3 linked regions of the Pelodiscus sinensis genome follow. The main gene of each other region encodes a partner of the protein of the gene in region 3 in a complex. Links are inferred from orthologs where the notes say so. Each region holds a gene or a part of one and is shown on either strand. Other genes may lie near its edges.

The links. The genes of interacting proteins can lie anywhere in the genome.
Region 1: FBXL13 (region 3) and DRC5 share a complex: the UniProt entries of both Homo sapiens proteins name them as parts of the nexin-dynein regulatory complex. The link is inferred for Pelodiscus sinensis from reciprocal best matches to the Homo sapiens genes FBXL13 and DRC5.
Region 2: FBXL13 (region 3) and DRC9 share a complex: the UniProt entries of both Homo sapiens proteins name them as parts of the nexin-dynein regulatory complex. The link is inferred for Pelodiscus sinensis from reciprocal best matches to the Homo sapiens genes FBXL13 and DRC9.

The regions. Positions count from the first base shown.
Region 1 is NC_134713.1:140,621,375-140,626,755, forward strand, and holds the start of DRC5 (dynein regulatory complex subunit 5), read right to left. Parts: upstream 3,457-5,381; 5' UTR 3,318-3,456; intron 3,287-3,317; exon of another isoform or gene 3,158-3,286; intron 2,889-3,157; exon of another isoform or gene 2,807-2,888; intron 1-2,806. UniProt on the Homo sapiens protein: Component of the nexin-dynein regulatory complex (N-DRC) a key regulator of ciliary/flagellar motility which maintains the alignment and integrity of the distal axoneme and regulates microtubule sliding in motile axonemes.
Region 2 is NC_134720.1:50,766,704-50,772,084, reverse strand, and holds the start of DRC9 (dynein regulatory complex protein 9), read right to left. Parts: upstream 2,773-5,381; 5' UTR 2,435-2,772; exon of another isoform or gene 2,431-2,434; intron 1,931-2,430; exon of another isoform or gene 1,747-1,930; intron 1,521-1,746; 5' UTR 1,346-1,520; intron 1-1,345. UniProt on the Homo sapiens protein: Component of the nexin-dynein regulatory complex (N-DRC), a key regulator of ciliary/flagellar motility which maintains the alignment and integrity of the distal axoneme and regulates microtubule sliding in motile axonemes.
Region 3 is NC_134711.1:23,448,606-23,453,986, forward strand, and holds the start of FBXL13 (F-box and leucine-rich repeat protein 13), read right to left. Parts: upstream 3,514-5,381; 5' UTR 3,218-3,513; coding exon 3,143-3,217; intron 1-3,142. UniProt on the Homo sapiens protein: Substrate-recognition component of the SCF (SKP1-CUL1-F-box protein)-type E3 ubiquitin ligase complex.

The DNA.
Region 1 (5,381 bases), on a different chromosome or scaffold from region 3:
TAGGTCTGCTCTGAGCAGGACAGGATGACAGTAGTAAATACAACTGACCTCTGCTTAGCATTCTTACCACTGCTACCACCAGTGAAGCTCCACCAGTGGTGAATTATGCTAGCTGTAGTAAGATGAGAGTCTGAAACATAAGCCCACATATGAGGCCTGAGGCCTAGACAGCAATGGTCAAGACTTTGCTAATATAAAGCAAAGTTAAGCTGTGAGCAAGAAGCAGGCCCTGCTCACAGAAATTGGCAAGAACAGGGCTATTACAGAAACACTCATACTTCAGAGATACTAGGCACAGGCTGAAAGCACATTCCAGAGGGGTCATAACAGAACACCTCATTTAAAAAATCTTGGTACCAGCACATACCCCACAAATAACATACATACTGTCCCAGATTCAGGATCAGGTCTAAATTGACAGCATGATGGATAGTAATGGAACCCCCCCCCCTTCTGTGACGTAAGGGGAGGTAACTAGCTAACAGAGGGTGGCAACCTGATACATCAGGAGTGATGTGTAACTTGATGTGCTATTTATCTCTCTCCACTGTGTAACTTGATGTGTAACTTGTTTGTTTGGTATTTGTTTGTACAAAACAAGTGGTCAGCTGACCACACGGGACAGGGCACATTAGAATCCAGAGAGTTTAGTTGGGTGTTAGTCGATTGTCATGGTGTACATATGTATAGTGGCGCAGCGGTGAGTCCATTCGCTGACAACTATTTTGTACCTTGCTTGACAATAAACCTACTCAGGTGCTTTTTATCTTTATCTGATTTGTGGTCTCTGGGGGCTCTCTCAGAGTTTGTCATATTGATTAATTGTGCATGATTAATGCATTAGACAAGGGGGCACACGCATGTACACAGCCAAAAGTTTATCATCATTGATGGATTAGAGGACCTGTCAGGAACCCATCAGGATGACTCTGCCTGACTGAGGACATGAGCCATTTTTGCCAATGTATGTTACATTTGTATTAAGCAGCTACGTTGTTGACTTCTGTAAGGATAATGTGTCTCTTGATTTTTAAACACTCACATGCATGCCCATATATACCAGGCACAAAAACTGTGCTAGCTATGATCATGTTGGAGAATAGTTGTCAAGTTCAGATCTGGCAGAACTAGCTTTGCCATCCATTTGCTAACATGGCTATTTATGTCAACAGTACTATGAACTATGCTACAGACAAAATTATCCTGTCTTCTATATTGCCTTTCATTTAGACTGCTCTGAGTCATCACCAACATATCACACACTCCTCAGTGATGGGGATAATTGTATTTCTGAAGTAACACCTCAAGAAAGTTAACCACTACTTGTGACAACACTTGCCAATCAGCAGTGGCTGGCATTGTCTTGCCAATATTTGAATGGGAATTTTATGCGGCCGTAACTGTGGGAAAGGTGATATCCAAAATGGGAATACTCAGATGTATGGAGTCAAAAGAGAGGTAAAGAGAATATCCAACCCATTTCCAAAAACACCAGTGCTTGCTCAACCAAGCCAAGTCTAGCTCTAGCAACATCCTGAACTAGAAGAGACTTTATCCTTTCTTCTCTTCATCAAGTTGATCTCTTAGAACCCCAGTAAAAAATTAATTGGTCACTTAATTTTAATAATTAATTAAAATAATACTTTGCTCCTCTTTAGCTCCTTCCATTCAAGGATTTCAATGTACAGGTACTTCACAGTCAGTTAATTTAATCCCCCATTTAGGTAGGCAAAATAATTTCTTGATTTTACATGGGGTAGAGATGGGAAGTGACTTCCAAGAGTTATACAAGAATTTAGAACTCATTTCTAAATTCCCTGGCCTTTGCTTTAACAAACCAGAACATGATTCCTTCTCCTCACTAATGACTTTCTGGCATTTCTTTCTATACTGTAAAAGTCAGGATCCTTAAAGGTGAAATGAAGGGCTTTCTATCCACCAAGATCTGACTTTAGCCCTTCAGTTCTGTTGCTCTATAACTGCAGATACTGTTACTAACATCAGAAGCTGAAAAATGCTACTTTAGGAGTTAGTGATATCATCAGTTCCAACAGAGGAAAAAAGACACTCAGGGACTCAATGCAGATTTTGGCAAGTAAGCAAAGGCAGAAATGATTTTTAAACCAAGTGATTTTAAAAACTATTCTCCTTTACTAAATTCTTACAGTGAGCCATCTGCATGGTATTAAGAGTTGCAATTTACAACAGAATCCCACTAATTTGTACTAATTACTAGGGATGTAAAAAATCGTTTAAAAATGTAACTGTATAACCACTAAAAATCCTAGCAGTTACATGGTTACACACCCTGCAGGCTCTGCAGTATAGCTTTTATACTGCAGGGTAGGGTGAAGCTGGCTCCCCAGGAGCAGGACCAGCCGGGGCTGCTGACCCTGCTCTAAGGGAGGCTTGGCTGCAGGTTATGTGGTGACTGCCAGCTCCCTTTGCTGCAGGCTCTGCAGTATAACTTTTATACTGCAGAGCCCGTAAAAAATCTGGCTCCCTGGGAGCGGGGCCAGCAGCCCCTGCCCGTCCCACTTCCAGGGAGCCAGCATGTAACTTGTAACACAAACTGATATGCTGGTGCTTATCAGTTAACCCTTTAAATAGTTGCACTTTTTTACATCCCCACTAATGTCAGGAAGGTCCAGGCCTGGTTAGTAAATGTTGCAAATTAAAGAGTAGACAAACACAATGTAAAGACACCATACTTAAAGAAAGCATAAGTTAGTACTGGTTACTAAGGGTAACATGCAAGTAGGCTGTTGTATATTTTGTAAAAGAAATGAAGTCTTAATAAATACACCTCTCTGCAGCACAGCCTCTTCCAGGGGACAGTCGCTGAAAGTTGAGATGAGAGCAGTTGCTGTGTCTTTAAATGACAAGTGCTGAGTTTGTGAAGTAACAGAATGGCAAGGTTATAACGGATCTTATAAGCATCTGGCAGTGAGCTCCAGACAAAGGCAGGCAAGTCCCTGTCCCAGGAGCTGGCAACTCAAAGCCCCCGGATTTCCCTAATAAGTGAGTGTAGAACCCAGGACAGGAGAAGAAACTCAAGTTTCCCCTGCAAGGGGCTGTTCAGCTGGCTGAGAGGGAGAGTGGGAGCGGGGAGAGGGCCAGGCAGCCCCAAGCGTCCCTGGTTCCCCTCAAGACGCACCTGGGCTTCAGGGAATTCACTCCAGGCAGAGGCGTTGCGCCCGCGCACCCATCCGAGGGCCCCTGCCCAACTCTAGCTCCTGGGACGCGGGGCAGAATAAGCTACAGACGCTGCCCGTCTCTCCCCGCCCCCTCCCTCCCCGCCAGCCCCAGCCCCTCACCGTCTCCCGCGGGCGCCACCTCCCGCTGCCCCGCCCGGTCCGGCAGGCAGGCCCCGGCCGCGGTTGCTAAGGAAGCGGCCCGTTGTCAAGAGCGGGGCGGGGGAGGGATGCCGAGGCCGGAAGCGAGTCGGTGCCGCAGTGCTGGGAAGGGGGGGGGGCTTATGGTGCGACAGGTGACAGAGCCGCCCCCACCCGTGTCCCGGCCCGGCCCAGCACCGGGCACGGGTCTGCTCAGCGGCTGCGCGGGCGGCGGCACAGCCTAGCTCGGCCCTCCGCTGTATCCACAGGCCCGCCGGGCTTGCAGCGTCCCGGGACAGAGCAATGCAGCCCCTCGTGTGGCTCCCTGCATAGGTGTCCACTGAGTATTATTTATAGGGTTGTCACCTCTGAGGCTACAAAAAACTGGGACATGAGCTGATCCTGTCCCCCATACACTGGTCAACAGCCAGCGCCTGGGAGTTCCCTGGCATTCTTCCTGGGACAACTACCTTCAAAAAGGGAAGATCCTAGGAAAACCTGGAGCAGGGGCAACCCAAAGGCTACGTCTAGACTGGCATGATTTTCCGGAAATGCTTTTAACGGAAAAGTTTTCCGTTAAAAGCATTTTTGGAACAGAGTGTCTAGATTGGCACGGACGCTTTTCCGCAATAGCACTTTTTGCGGAAAAGTGTCCGTGGCCAATCTAGACAGGCTTTTTTGCAAAAGAGCCCCGATCACCATTTTTGCGATCGGGGCTTTTTTGTGGAAAACAAATCTGAGCTGTCTACACTGGCCCTTTTGCACAAAAGGGACTTTTGTCTGAATGGGAGCAGCATTGTATTTCCGCAAGAAGCACTGATTTCTTACAGTAGGAAATCAGTGCTTTTGCGGAAATTCAAGCAGCCAGTGCAGACAGTTGGCAAGTTTTTCCGGAAAAGCGGCTGATTTTCCGGAAAAACTGGCCAGTCTAGACACAGCTAAATAGTATAGCTCTGCCCATTCAGGAAGGGGAATAAACTTCACTAGTATAAGGCACCTTTATATTAAGATAACAGTGTTCACACTAGACACAGGTATCACAATAAAAGAAGTAGTCTAGTAGCATCTTCAAGACCAACAAAACATGTAGATGGTATCATGAGCTTTCCTGAGCAAAACCCACTTCTTCAGATGACCGGAGTGCAATAAGTCCAGATCCAAGATTAAATGAGGGAAGGAGGGAGAAGGAAAAAGGGGAGGAAAGGAAGAAAAAGAGACAGCGAGTAGATAGTGCAAATAGTTACCAGAAGCTGTTAGGAACCATTAGAACCGCCATTGTTTGGTTGGTTGTTTAAGACGTTAAAAGGTTGAAGATAGTGTGCGAGCCATCCTATATCCCAGTTCAGACCATTAGCATAAGAATTAAACTCCTGCATGAAGTTAAGTCCCAATCCTTCTCTGTGTATTTGGCTTGTGGAATTGGTCTGAAACAAAACAGTGACTTGGAGATCTATTAATGAATGTCCAGGAAGATTAAAGTGTTCTCCAACAGGTTTTTGTGTGTTGCCTTTTTGGATATCTGATTTGCATCCATTAATTCTTTCCCGTAGAGACTGTCCAGTTTGGCCAATGTACAATTGCAAATACTTTCCAGCAGCCATCCACAACATCTCAGCTACACTCATCCAGGAACCCACCCCTACAACAAACTTCATTGCCAAGTCTGTCCACGTATCTATACAAGCGACACCATCACAGGACCTAACCACAAAGCCACAACATCAGGGGCTCATACAACTGCACATCCTCTAATGTGATATATGCCATCCAGTGCCAGCAATGCCTCTCTGCCATGTATGTTGGATAGTCCACATCAGAACTCACACGATTCTAATGATCTAATTTTTTGCAGTGTAGATAGCACTATGTTGGCAGGAGGACTTCTATCAAAATAGCTATTGCCCGGATCCAGGTACGTTAATCTAAGTTTTCAGATGCAACAAAGAGCCTCCACCCCAACAAGGCACTGGTCTTCTACAGCCCCACTTCAGGATGTTGGTCAGAGGACACTGCCAGACATGCTCAGATCTGCTCCCCCAGCCTATT
Region 2 (5,381 bases), on a different chromosome or scaffold from region 3:
TTTGTTTAGCCTCTAATTTCTAAAGGCTGAAGGGAATGAGAACCAAATGGAACTGAATGGGGGTGGGGAGGGAGCATGGAAGAACTCCTACGTGGAATTTAGCCTGCATAGTATAGGTGAAGACAGGGGCTTGGGGCATTACTGTCTGAGACACCAACCCCATTAGAAACTTGTGGGATTTTTCAGGTAAGACAGGTATCACATCCTTTGGCTATACAAAGAGGCACTTTGGATGCTTTCTGGTGCTATTATAAAAAGAATAATACCAAGATTTTTTTTCAGTACTAACTTTCCTGCTGCTTCCTCACTATAGAACCCTGTGAGAATAATCCAGAAGCAGCAGCTGGCCTGGAGTTCAATGACTGTAAAGCTCTTGCAGGGGTCATATTATGAGGGCACGCTAGTGCAAAGGCATGCATTTTCAGCAAAGTTGGATCTCACCACACTGGATCCTCTCCAAGATCCAATGGTGCTAGAGCCAAATCCACTGATGCTGACAAAATAAGGATTTGGCAAAGAGAGCAGCACTGCTTTTCATAGTCTCTCTGTGGGAACAGCCCAGTGAACATGACCGCCAAACCTGACCAAAAAGTCTACATCACATTTTCACCTTGCCTGAAACAGTTCCTCCGGTGCTTTTAAAAAAATGTCTAGATCTTGTTAGGTGCTAAAGGTGTTCAAATACTTTACTGCATCGGGCCCTGAGACTTTCCAGATTAAATCTGCAGCCTTCAGAAGTAAGGGGATTATCACAGAGGCAGTTAAATTTTTTAAAAGCATGTGAGCTACTTGGGAGTCTAAAACCTATTTTAAAGAGTGAATTAGTTACTTAGAAGCCCAAGTTTCAGCTAATGTCACTTTTGAAAATAGAGTTTAAGCTGCTAAGTCACTGAGGGCAAAAGTTGAATTAAGCTACGCAACTTGAGCTACAGCAATTGCATACATAATTCAGCTTTTGGCACTGTCTACGCAGCAGGAAATCTTCACTCTTCCTTTGACTTCTCTTAATTTTAAGCGTGATATGAAGGTTACAGGAATTGGAGTAAGAAATCCTCCAGCCTGACATTATTCCAAAGTAATGACTTGCAGTGTAGATGCCCTCTTTGTAATGCTGCTGTGTAGACATACCCTAAGGCACTTTTTAAAAATTTACCCTAATTCTCCAGTGGCCTTAGCTGCATGGACAGGCATCAGCAACAAGGCCCTGATTCTGCCAAGCAGTTAAGTGCATGCTTAGTGCACTCCTCTTCAGAAAATCACTTAAACATGTGTTTGTTCCAATGAAGCCCAAATCCTCAACCCAGGCCTAAATGAGGGATTAAAGGTAAATTTTAAAGTTACTTACTGTTACAGTGGCATGGAAGAAGCCACAGGGGCTGCCAGGTGCATAGAAAGATAGTCTTCTCCTAAGCACTCACCGCCCAAAAAATGGCCAAAATACAGCAGAAAGGTTGTGGGCACAACACCCAAGCAGAGTCCTCTTGGCGCACACAGAGCTTGTGTGATCACACTGGTTTGTACTAGGGATGTAACAGTGTAATTGATATAACCAGAAGCTTATAGGTTAATGCTAAAGACTATACGCAATTCCCCCCACCCTGCCAGTAAATTGTTTAGCAGGCTGGCCAGCAACCCAGCTCCGTCCTGCTCCAGGACCTTCCCCTGCTGCGACTCTGCATTTAAAGTGTGTTAGGCACCAGGCAGGCAAGCAGCCTGGCTCAGTTCCAGGAGCTCAGACGGCCTCACCCTAGACGGGGGTTGCTGCCACCCCGCACTGCTGCGTGTGTCAAGCAGGGGCAGCAGCAGTGACAGGCAGCCAGGGGAGATGACTTTTAAACTGGCTCCTCTCAGGGAACAGCTCCTACCTGGCGCCCTGTGCTGCTGCATCTGTATCCGAGGCAGCAGCATGGTGTGGGGGGGGGGGGGGGAGCTCCTTGGGAGTGGGGCCAGGGCGCACTGGCGGCCGGCCCCGCCCCCGGGGACTATCAAGAGGAGTAACCGGCTAGAAGTCAGGAGGCCACGTGACCCTTCGATGAACGGATCCTTCACGTCCCTACTTGGGGCCGTGGCCCCCCTCGCCACGGCCCCGGGCCACGGCCCCTTTCTCATGGCGGGTTGGGCTTTAACCCTCCCCGGGGGGGGGGCAGTCCTGTGGCCCCCGCCCGGGTGTGTCCCTCCCCCAGCCCCTGTGCGGGAGACAGGCGGCCCCCAGGGGCGCGCCACAGGAGGGGGGGCAGGGCTGGGCCCCTGATGCTCCCTTCACGGGGGGGGGGGGCAATGGGACACCTCTCCCCAAGGGGCTTTGCCCTGCTCCCTAGCTGCGCTCGGACCCAGGGCCCCCCGCTATCCACCGGGGGGGGCGCACTGGGCAGGTCGCTCCCTCCCCCCCCCCCCCCCGGGTCTATTATCAGTGACACTGAGGGGACTCACGCACAGGCCGCAGGCCGGACAGAGCTGGTCTCCATGGCAACTACCAAGCTCAAGGGGGACCTTCCAGTCACACTGCCTACGTGGGTGCCTGTCGGGCACAACCCCTGAACCACGACCTCGCAGGGGAGGTGCCCACACAAAGGGCGCGGGGGACAGAGAGGGAGGGTGGGGCCGCGGCTGGGTTTTATTCACCCGTCCGCGGGCGCGTTTTCTACTCAGGCAGTCATTGCGGGCGACCCAAGGGCCCTTGCGATGCCATATCCCGGCATGCTTGGTGGCCGCTCTCCCTTTCGCCGCCATCTTGGGTCGGAGCCGCGGGGGTGAGTCCGGGGAGCGGAGGTCCCGAGGTGGGTTCAGGGGGGTTCTCCCGTCGCCGTGGGGCGGGGCAGGTGCGGCGGGGCCCGGGCTGCGCAGGGGGCGCGTGTGGCGGGGGCAGGCGGCGGGATGGCGCCGATGCGCGGCGGATGGTGCTAGGCCCCGGCCTGAGCCGGCTCCCACAGCCCCACGGGGTCCCTGGCTCTTCAGCCCCCGGGGTGGGGGGGCCCGGCCTGGCGAACGTAGCCCGGCCCGTGCCGAGCTGGGCTCCCCCGTTGCCGGCCGGGGTTAGCGGGGAGCACCGGAGGCTGCGGCCCTGTGGAGGCTGCGGGTCCCCCGGCGACGTGCCGGGCGCTGCGGAGGGGGGGCAGGGCCTGCTGCGGCCGTGGGGTGCCCGGCTCCCTAGTGCGGCGGCTGAAATCTTCGTGCTTCTCTCTCAGGCCTGCTGGGAGCAGGACTTCAGGACGACGCCATGTCTGGGAGGTGAGCGACGGGCTCTGAACACTTCCTTGGTCCTTTGCTGTCATGTTGGCCGGGGATCGCAAATCCTCTCCTCGGCTCCTGCAGAGTGGGCTGCCTTAAGTAGAGCCGGGTGTTCACCCTCTGTTGTGATGTACTTGGCACTGATTGCTATTCCCATCCCAAAGATCTGTCCCCTATAAAATCTTGTTATGCTGCACAGTTGTGTTCGGATCAGTATGTTGTGGGACAGTCTAAATTCCTACTATCCCATGCTGCCACACATGGTTAACCAGCCCTTTCTGTCAAGAGTTGGTAGAAGTTGGCTGCCATCTAATGATAGCTACAATTGCAAGTTACTTGTTCGTGGATGCAGACTGCATATGCAATCAATTGCATTACAGTTTGGTTATGGATAGGACAGTTTCAGATTCATGGTCAATTTTATTGTCATGGGATTTTAAAAAGCATGAACTTCATGATGTAATGTACTTAAATTTTACAGTGCTGGAATAGTTGAGTTCCTTCATGACCCAAAAAGGGGTTGTGCACTAGGGGTGTGAAAGTGTAACTGTGTACATTGTTAACCAATGAGCCCATGCTCATTGGTTACTGTGCACGGTTACATGCAACCCTCTCTCCTCACCTTCGCTGCTGCTTCTGTATCAGAGGCAGCAGCAGAGTGGAGAGGGAACAGGTGAAGCTCGCCAACTCCCCATGTACACCAGCTGCAGAAAAGCCACCTGCCCCATCCCCTGCTATGTAACCACTGGAAATTTCAGCAGTTACACATTCATTTGAGTAATCCCTATTGTGGACTAAGATCTGTGTAAGCTGTGTGGCTGTGCAGCTTGCCCAGCTAGGCTCTGCAGGAGCTCAAGTAATCTAGCCAAGGTGGGGACCTGCTAGCCAGAGGAGAACTTTCCCTTCCAGCCTCGGGAGACGCAGCCCAAATGCAGCCAGTGTCCCTGCCCCAGATCACCCCTTCCTTTCCTTCGAACTGGAAAGGCTAGGCCCAGACTCAGCCACTGCACCAAGATCTGCTATGGCTGGAGCAGCCCTTCCCCTAGGCCCAGCTCAGTCTCTGCTGTAACCTGCCACAAGAGTGGTGCCTATCTTGTAGCCCTGCAGCTGCCACAGCCAAAAGAAGTGACACACACTCTTCCCTTCCCCCCCCCCAGCACAGGTGCTGCTGCTAGGAGAGAGAGATGGGGGGGGGGGGGTGTCCCCTTGTCTCTCAGTAGCCTGGTAGCACCGTCCTTTATTCCAGAAACTTGCCTCCCCCCAGAGCCCACACTCCCTGCTGGAGCCCTAATACTCTTGCAGCCCAATTCTGTCTCAGCCTTGGCCCACCTTGGAGCCTGCATCCCAGCCAGATCCCTTGCTCCCCAGACCACTGTCCCAGTCCTAAGCTCTGACCCACCCTAAAGCCCTGACAGTCCTGCACCCTAGGCCTGAGCCCCTTCCCACACTCAGAACTACTTCTGTCCATCCCTGCCACATGAATTTTTTTCACACATCAGCTCCATATTGGTGCACGTAAGAAAATTCATTTTTCCTCAGGGATGAAAAAAACTAGAGGGAACATGAATGGGGGTGTGGGTAAAGGCACAGGGTTATTGTAGCGGGCATTGCGGTGGTGCTTACCCTATTGTGCTACTGCTGGTGAAGACTCTGCCTTCAAAGCTGGCCAGCTAGAGAGTGGCTGCGAGCCAGAAGCCCAGCTCTGAAGGGAGAGCTATCACCAGCCACAACTCAGAAGTAAGGACGGCATGGTTGGTATTGCTGTCCTTACTTCTGCACTGCTGCCTGCAGAGCTGGTCCCTCAGTCAGTAAATACCACTTTCCAGCTGCCCAGCTTTGAGGGCAGCAATGCAGAAGTAAAGGTGGTATGGTATAATGCTGTCACCCTTCTGCACTGCTGCTGGTGGGGCGCTGCTCCTTCTGGCAAGGAGTTGCATAGTTGGACTGCATTATGTGAAGAAATACTTCCTTTTGTTTTAATACCTGCTGCCTATTAATTTCATTTGGTGACCCCTAGTTCTTGTTGTGAGAAGGAATAAATAACAGTCTTTCACTCTTTCCTCACAATGATTTTATAGACCACTATTATATCTGCCCCATAAGCCCTTATCTTAGTCTCTTTAAGGCGCTTTCTCTTTAATTTCTCATATGGA
Region 3 (5,381 bases):
GACCCTGGGCTCCCTGCAGTGCTGCCCCTTTGAAATGCCGCTTCAGCGTTTCAAAGTGGCAGCACCGCACTGAGCCTGGAATCAGCTGTGTGGTGCTGCCCCTTTGAAACACCGCCATGGCATTTCAAAGCGGCAGCGCCGCATGGAGCCCGGGCTCCCTGCAATACACTGCCACTTTAAAGTACTCCCTTCTCCCCTGCCCCCTGCTGCCTCTATGTGATAGAGGCAGCAAGGGGGGGGGAAGCGACTCCACGAAAGCCGATGCCCACAGGGAGACGTTTTTTAAGACAGCGTCTCCCTCCCAGCCCCCCGGAGCACTGGCTCTAGTCACCCCATGCTGCTGACTCTGTGGGAGGCAGCATGGGGGGCAGCAGGCAGCTCTGCAGGAGTCAGCACATGCAGGAAGCTGGCTTAAAAGCTGGCTCCCTGAGGCTATGTCTACACTGCAGGCTTTTGCTGGCAGAGAGCATGTTAATGAAGCACTCACTAGCATGTGTCGCGCTGTCATTTGCATATTCTCTACTGATGCTTTTTGCGCAAGAGGCTTTTGCACAAAAACAAGCAGTGTAGAAGGTCCGTTTTTTGCAAAAAAGCCCCTTTTGCACAAGTTCCTTATACCTCCTTTTTTGAAGTATAATGATCTTGCGCAAAAGGTTTTTTTTAATCACGTGATTAAAAAATGTAATAGCAATTAATCGCATAATTAATCATGTGCAATTCCCCTTTGAAACACCCTGGCGGTGTTTCAACGAGGCAGCGCTGCATGGAGCCCAGGATCAGCTGAAGTTCCCAGCTGACCCTGGGCTCCATGCAGTACTGCTCCTTGGAAGCGCCACCATGGCATTTCAAAAGGGCAGCACAAGGCTTTAAAGGGGCAGTGCATTAGGTACGCCAGCGGATTCCCCAGCTCTGCTTGCGCTGCTCCTTTGAAGAGGCAGTGCAGCATTAACGTCTGCGATTAACGCTTTAATTTTTTTAACGCGTTAAACCTGTCCTGTGGTAACCGCAGGCATTAACACAGGTCAATTGACAGCTCTAAATTATACTCCTACAACCGTACTATGGTACTGAGGCTTGGAGCAAGGTGCAGCATACAGTCCGTCCGTCCCCATCCCCTGCCATGCTTCTACCTCATGGCTGCAAGAACATGTTGCTGTTTCCAGGGAGTCACACAGAGCCAAGTAGGGAATAGGGATATAAAATCCCATATAAAGTTAATCAGATAAACATGTTTAACGAGATAACTGGGATCCCACGGTAGGGGGCCTGCCCAGGCAGGAGTGGCCCCCTACCTGTGTCACAGTAGACCCAGACAGAGGGTTGCTCCAACACATCTGAGCGCCCTGCACCATGGACTGTTCTGGCCAGGTCAGGTCCACACCGCACCACAGGCAGAGGGCTGCTCTGGTTGGGCCAAGCCTAGTGTACAGGGGCTGTGAAGCTGCTCCAGCCAGGCCAGGCCGCTGGTTAACCGGTTACCAAAAAGCATCACACATAAGACTGATGCTTGCTGGTTAACCGGGTACATCCCTATTGTGGAGGTTCTATAGTATGCATGTTGGGTGTGGCCTGTGGAGGACAAGCCCAAGAAGGTACAAGATTTAAAACCTCTGCTTTAGGGGACAGAGGGAAGGAGCAGCAGAAACGCTTATGCCTTTCCATCAATGAACCACTGTACAAGAAGCCACAAGCACCCTCTGGCATGGGACAGAAAACCGAGATAGTCAAACACAAGACTAATAGAACAGGATACCATACTCAAAGAGGCTCTGGGAGACAGACCCATAGTCTCCTATAGACAACCACCTAACCTCAAGAGGATTCTTACCAACCACCACAGGACATACCACACTAATACCAACCCTGGTACCTTCCCTTGCAACAAACCCCGTTGCCAGCTTTGTCCACATATTCATTCTGCTGATACCATTATTGGACCTAACCAAGTGAGTTATAAGATCAAGAACACATATTCCTGCGCATCCAGAAATATAATCTATGCTATCATGTGCCGAAAGTGTCCGTCTGCTATGTACATTGGACAAACATCTCAGACACTTCGCCAAAGGATTAATGCCCACAAAACAGATATCAGACAAGATCACAAAGAGAAAACAGTTTCTTGCCATTTTAACCAGAAAGGACACTCTCTCAATGACTTAACCACCTGCATTCTGCTACAAAGACCTTTTACATCTGCACTTGAAAGGGAATCCTCTGAACTGTCATTCATGTTAAAATTCGACACTTGCCAACAAGGACTTAACAAACATTTGAACTATCTCACCCATTACCAAGACAGTTTCCCCAATTATCACCTGTAATACCATTAACTCACAAACATCCCACTCTCCCTACCTCTAATATCATCAATTCACAGACACTTGCCTTCCTTCCTCCCCCCCCCCCCCGAATCCCCCTCCTGTCCTGCAATGTGATTTGTCCTTTTCATATTTGTTCTTTTTTTTTAATTGTATCCTTTGGTATATATGGTTGTGACTACTTTCTTCCACTATTTGATCTGAGGAAGTGGGTCTGGCCCACGAAAGCTCATCATCTAATAAACCATCTTGTTAGTCTTTAAAGTGCTACATTGTCCTGCATTTTGCTTCAACTACCCCAGACTAACACGGCTACATTTCTATCACTATTCTACAAGACGAATAGGCCTCGTCCACAGAGATTTGTGGAATGTGTAAGAATTGCTGTTCTTGAGCGTGTTTTTCAACCAGACTAGCTATAAAGAATCATCCCCTCCCGCCGAGGTAATTATACGGGCGCACTAGACCCACTGAAGTCAATGGGCGGAACAGCAAGAGATCCCACTGACTTAGCGGGCCCAGCATGGCAGCTTGGGGGAGGTGAAAAGGGGCCAGCCGCGCCTGGGCTTGCGCTCGTGGCGGGAACTTACTGTTCCAGGGCTCACAGGCGAGCTCGTCTCTTCCCGCCCACGCCGCAAGCCGCACACTCAGGGAGGTGGCGCCCAGGCGTCAGTCACACCCTGGGCCGGGCTGGGGGGGGGGGGGGGGGGGTTGGTGCTAACACGGACTCAGCCCCGCGTGGGTCGCAGCGCCGTTGCGAGCCCGGCTCCCTCCGCCCGCAGCTCAGCCGGGAGCTGGTGCGCCCAGGCGGGGCCTTTTACCTCGTAGACGTCGAGGAGGCTGTGGCGCTTGAAATAAGCCCTGAGTCCGGGGTCCGCGTCGCGCAGGGAGGACATGGCGGAGCCGGGCCTCTGGCGCTTCAGACCCAGCGCGGCGCTCCCAGTCGCCTAGCAACCCGAGGCCACAAGCCGCTCGCCCTCATTGGGCGCCTCAGCTCAGAGTGCGGAGGGGCTTTGGGGGAGGGGAGTGTCGCGTGCCGTCCCATCCCAACTTTGCACCACCCCCTGCACCGCCTCACCCCCCAAGTTCCACGCAGCCCCCTCCAACTCTGTACTGCCCTGCCCACCAGCCCCTGCTGCACCTATTGCCCTGGCCTCCAACCTTTTTGCACCCAAGATCACGTTTTAACTGTTAGGGCAAGCCAAGATCTACCCCAAGAGCCCCCCCCTTCCTCGAGTCCCCGCCCTCTCTGTTCCCCCTCCTTTATCACTTGCTGGCCACAGCCCTTGCTCACTCTCATTGGATTGAGACAGGAGGTGCGGGCTCTGGGGTGGGAATGAGGGATTTGGGTGTGAGAAGGGGTGAGAGGTGCAAGCTCTTGGAGGGAAATTAGGTGCAGGAGGAGGTGGAGAAGGGGATGCTGGCTCAGGGAGGGGGATCCAGGCTGGAGAGTGTTGGGGTCAGGTGGAGGGTTGAGGTGCTGAGCCAGCCACTGGCTTGTGGATGTGGGGTGCAGGAGTTTGGGTTGGGGTGTATGAGAGGCTCAGGGCAGAGGAGGTGTATGAGGGGCTCAGGGTTGGTGTGTGGGAGGGGTGCTATGATGTTGTGATGCTGTGGCCAGATAGGAGATTGTTGGCCAGGCTTCATTTTTAAATAAAATATGTCCAACACAAAAGGTTTCAACATTGTCTTTATTTATGGGAAGGGAGGGGAACCTTTTTGGGTCGGGGTAGGCCAGTGACCCAGAGAAAAAGCAGGGACCGTACAAGTGAGATGCAAAAAAACAACGCCTCCAAAAACCCTCAACCTCACTGATGTAGCCCCAACTGAGACACCTCACTCCCCTGGCATCCAGCCCCATGTGGGGAGGGAGGAGAGAAGGTAGGTCTGAGGTTCAAGGCCTCAGGCCAGATTAACTCTTCTGGGGTTCCAGGATTAGTGGATTTTTTGGTTCCCCCTAGGCTCTGGGGTGGGGATAAAAATGAGGGGTCCAATGTGTGGGATAGAGCTGCCTATCAGTGGGATAGGGATGGGGGTGCAGAATCTGGGTGGGAAGTAGGGGGCAGGAACAAGCTTGAGGTAGGTGTCTGGCCAGGAGGGAGGGGGCAGGAACAGGGTGCTGGCGGGGGTTTGGACAGGGGGCAGGAGTGGGGTGCTGGTGGGTGTCTGGTCGGGGGGGAGGCAGGAGCAGGGTGCTGGTGGGTCTCTAGCCAGGAGAGAGGGGGCAGGAGTAGCTCAGCTGGTACCTGGGGGTCTCCAGGGACGAGTATCTCTTGGGCAGGATCTTCAGGCAGTGCTAGAAGAGGCGTACCTGTGGCTCCTTTAAGAAATCCAGCTCCTTCACGTATGATCCTCGGCCTCCATCTTAACCCCCTCTTTCCCCTCCCACTCTGCTTCCCCAAATTATGGGGGAATGAAGGGAAGATAAGAAAGTGTGGGTGCTGCTACGGGGAGGGGAGGAGCAGCACACATGTACTTCCTAAGAAGCTGGCTCTGTCACAGAGCCTTGGGATTCGCCTCCCTTCCCCCTTCTCCCCGCCCCAGGAAGCCAGCTCTGGCTCCAATTTTGCAAGGGGCAGGAGGCTGTAGCACCGTGCAGGCTCCTCGTTGCAGGTGGGGGGAATGAAATGGGGCTGGGAGCACTGCTTCGAGATCGACTGGTTGGTGACCGCTGACCTATTGCAATTCCATTCATACTCACTGCTCCGAGCCCACACTCACCCATCCCAACTCTATTTATTGCCTAGCCCTAAACCCAACTCATCCTCTATCCCAACCCTCTGCCTAAACCAAGCCCTTGCTCATGGACCCCTCATCCCAACTGGGCCATAACACCTGCCGATCCTTCACACTAAACCCTAAATTCATAGCCCATTCTAACTTCTTTCATGTTCCCTGTCCATATCAACCCCACAAATTGCTCCATTCCAACTCCATTCATACATCCAGCCTTGCACCAGACCACACCCACCATTCTTGCCCTTGGCCTACTCCTATCTATATTCCCCAACCATAGGTGCCAATTTCATGGGTGCTCTGGAACTGGAGAACCCACAAGAA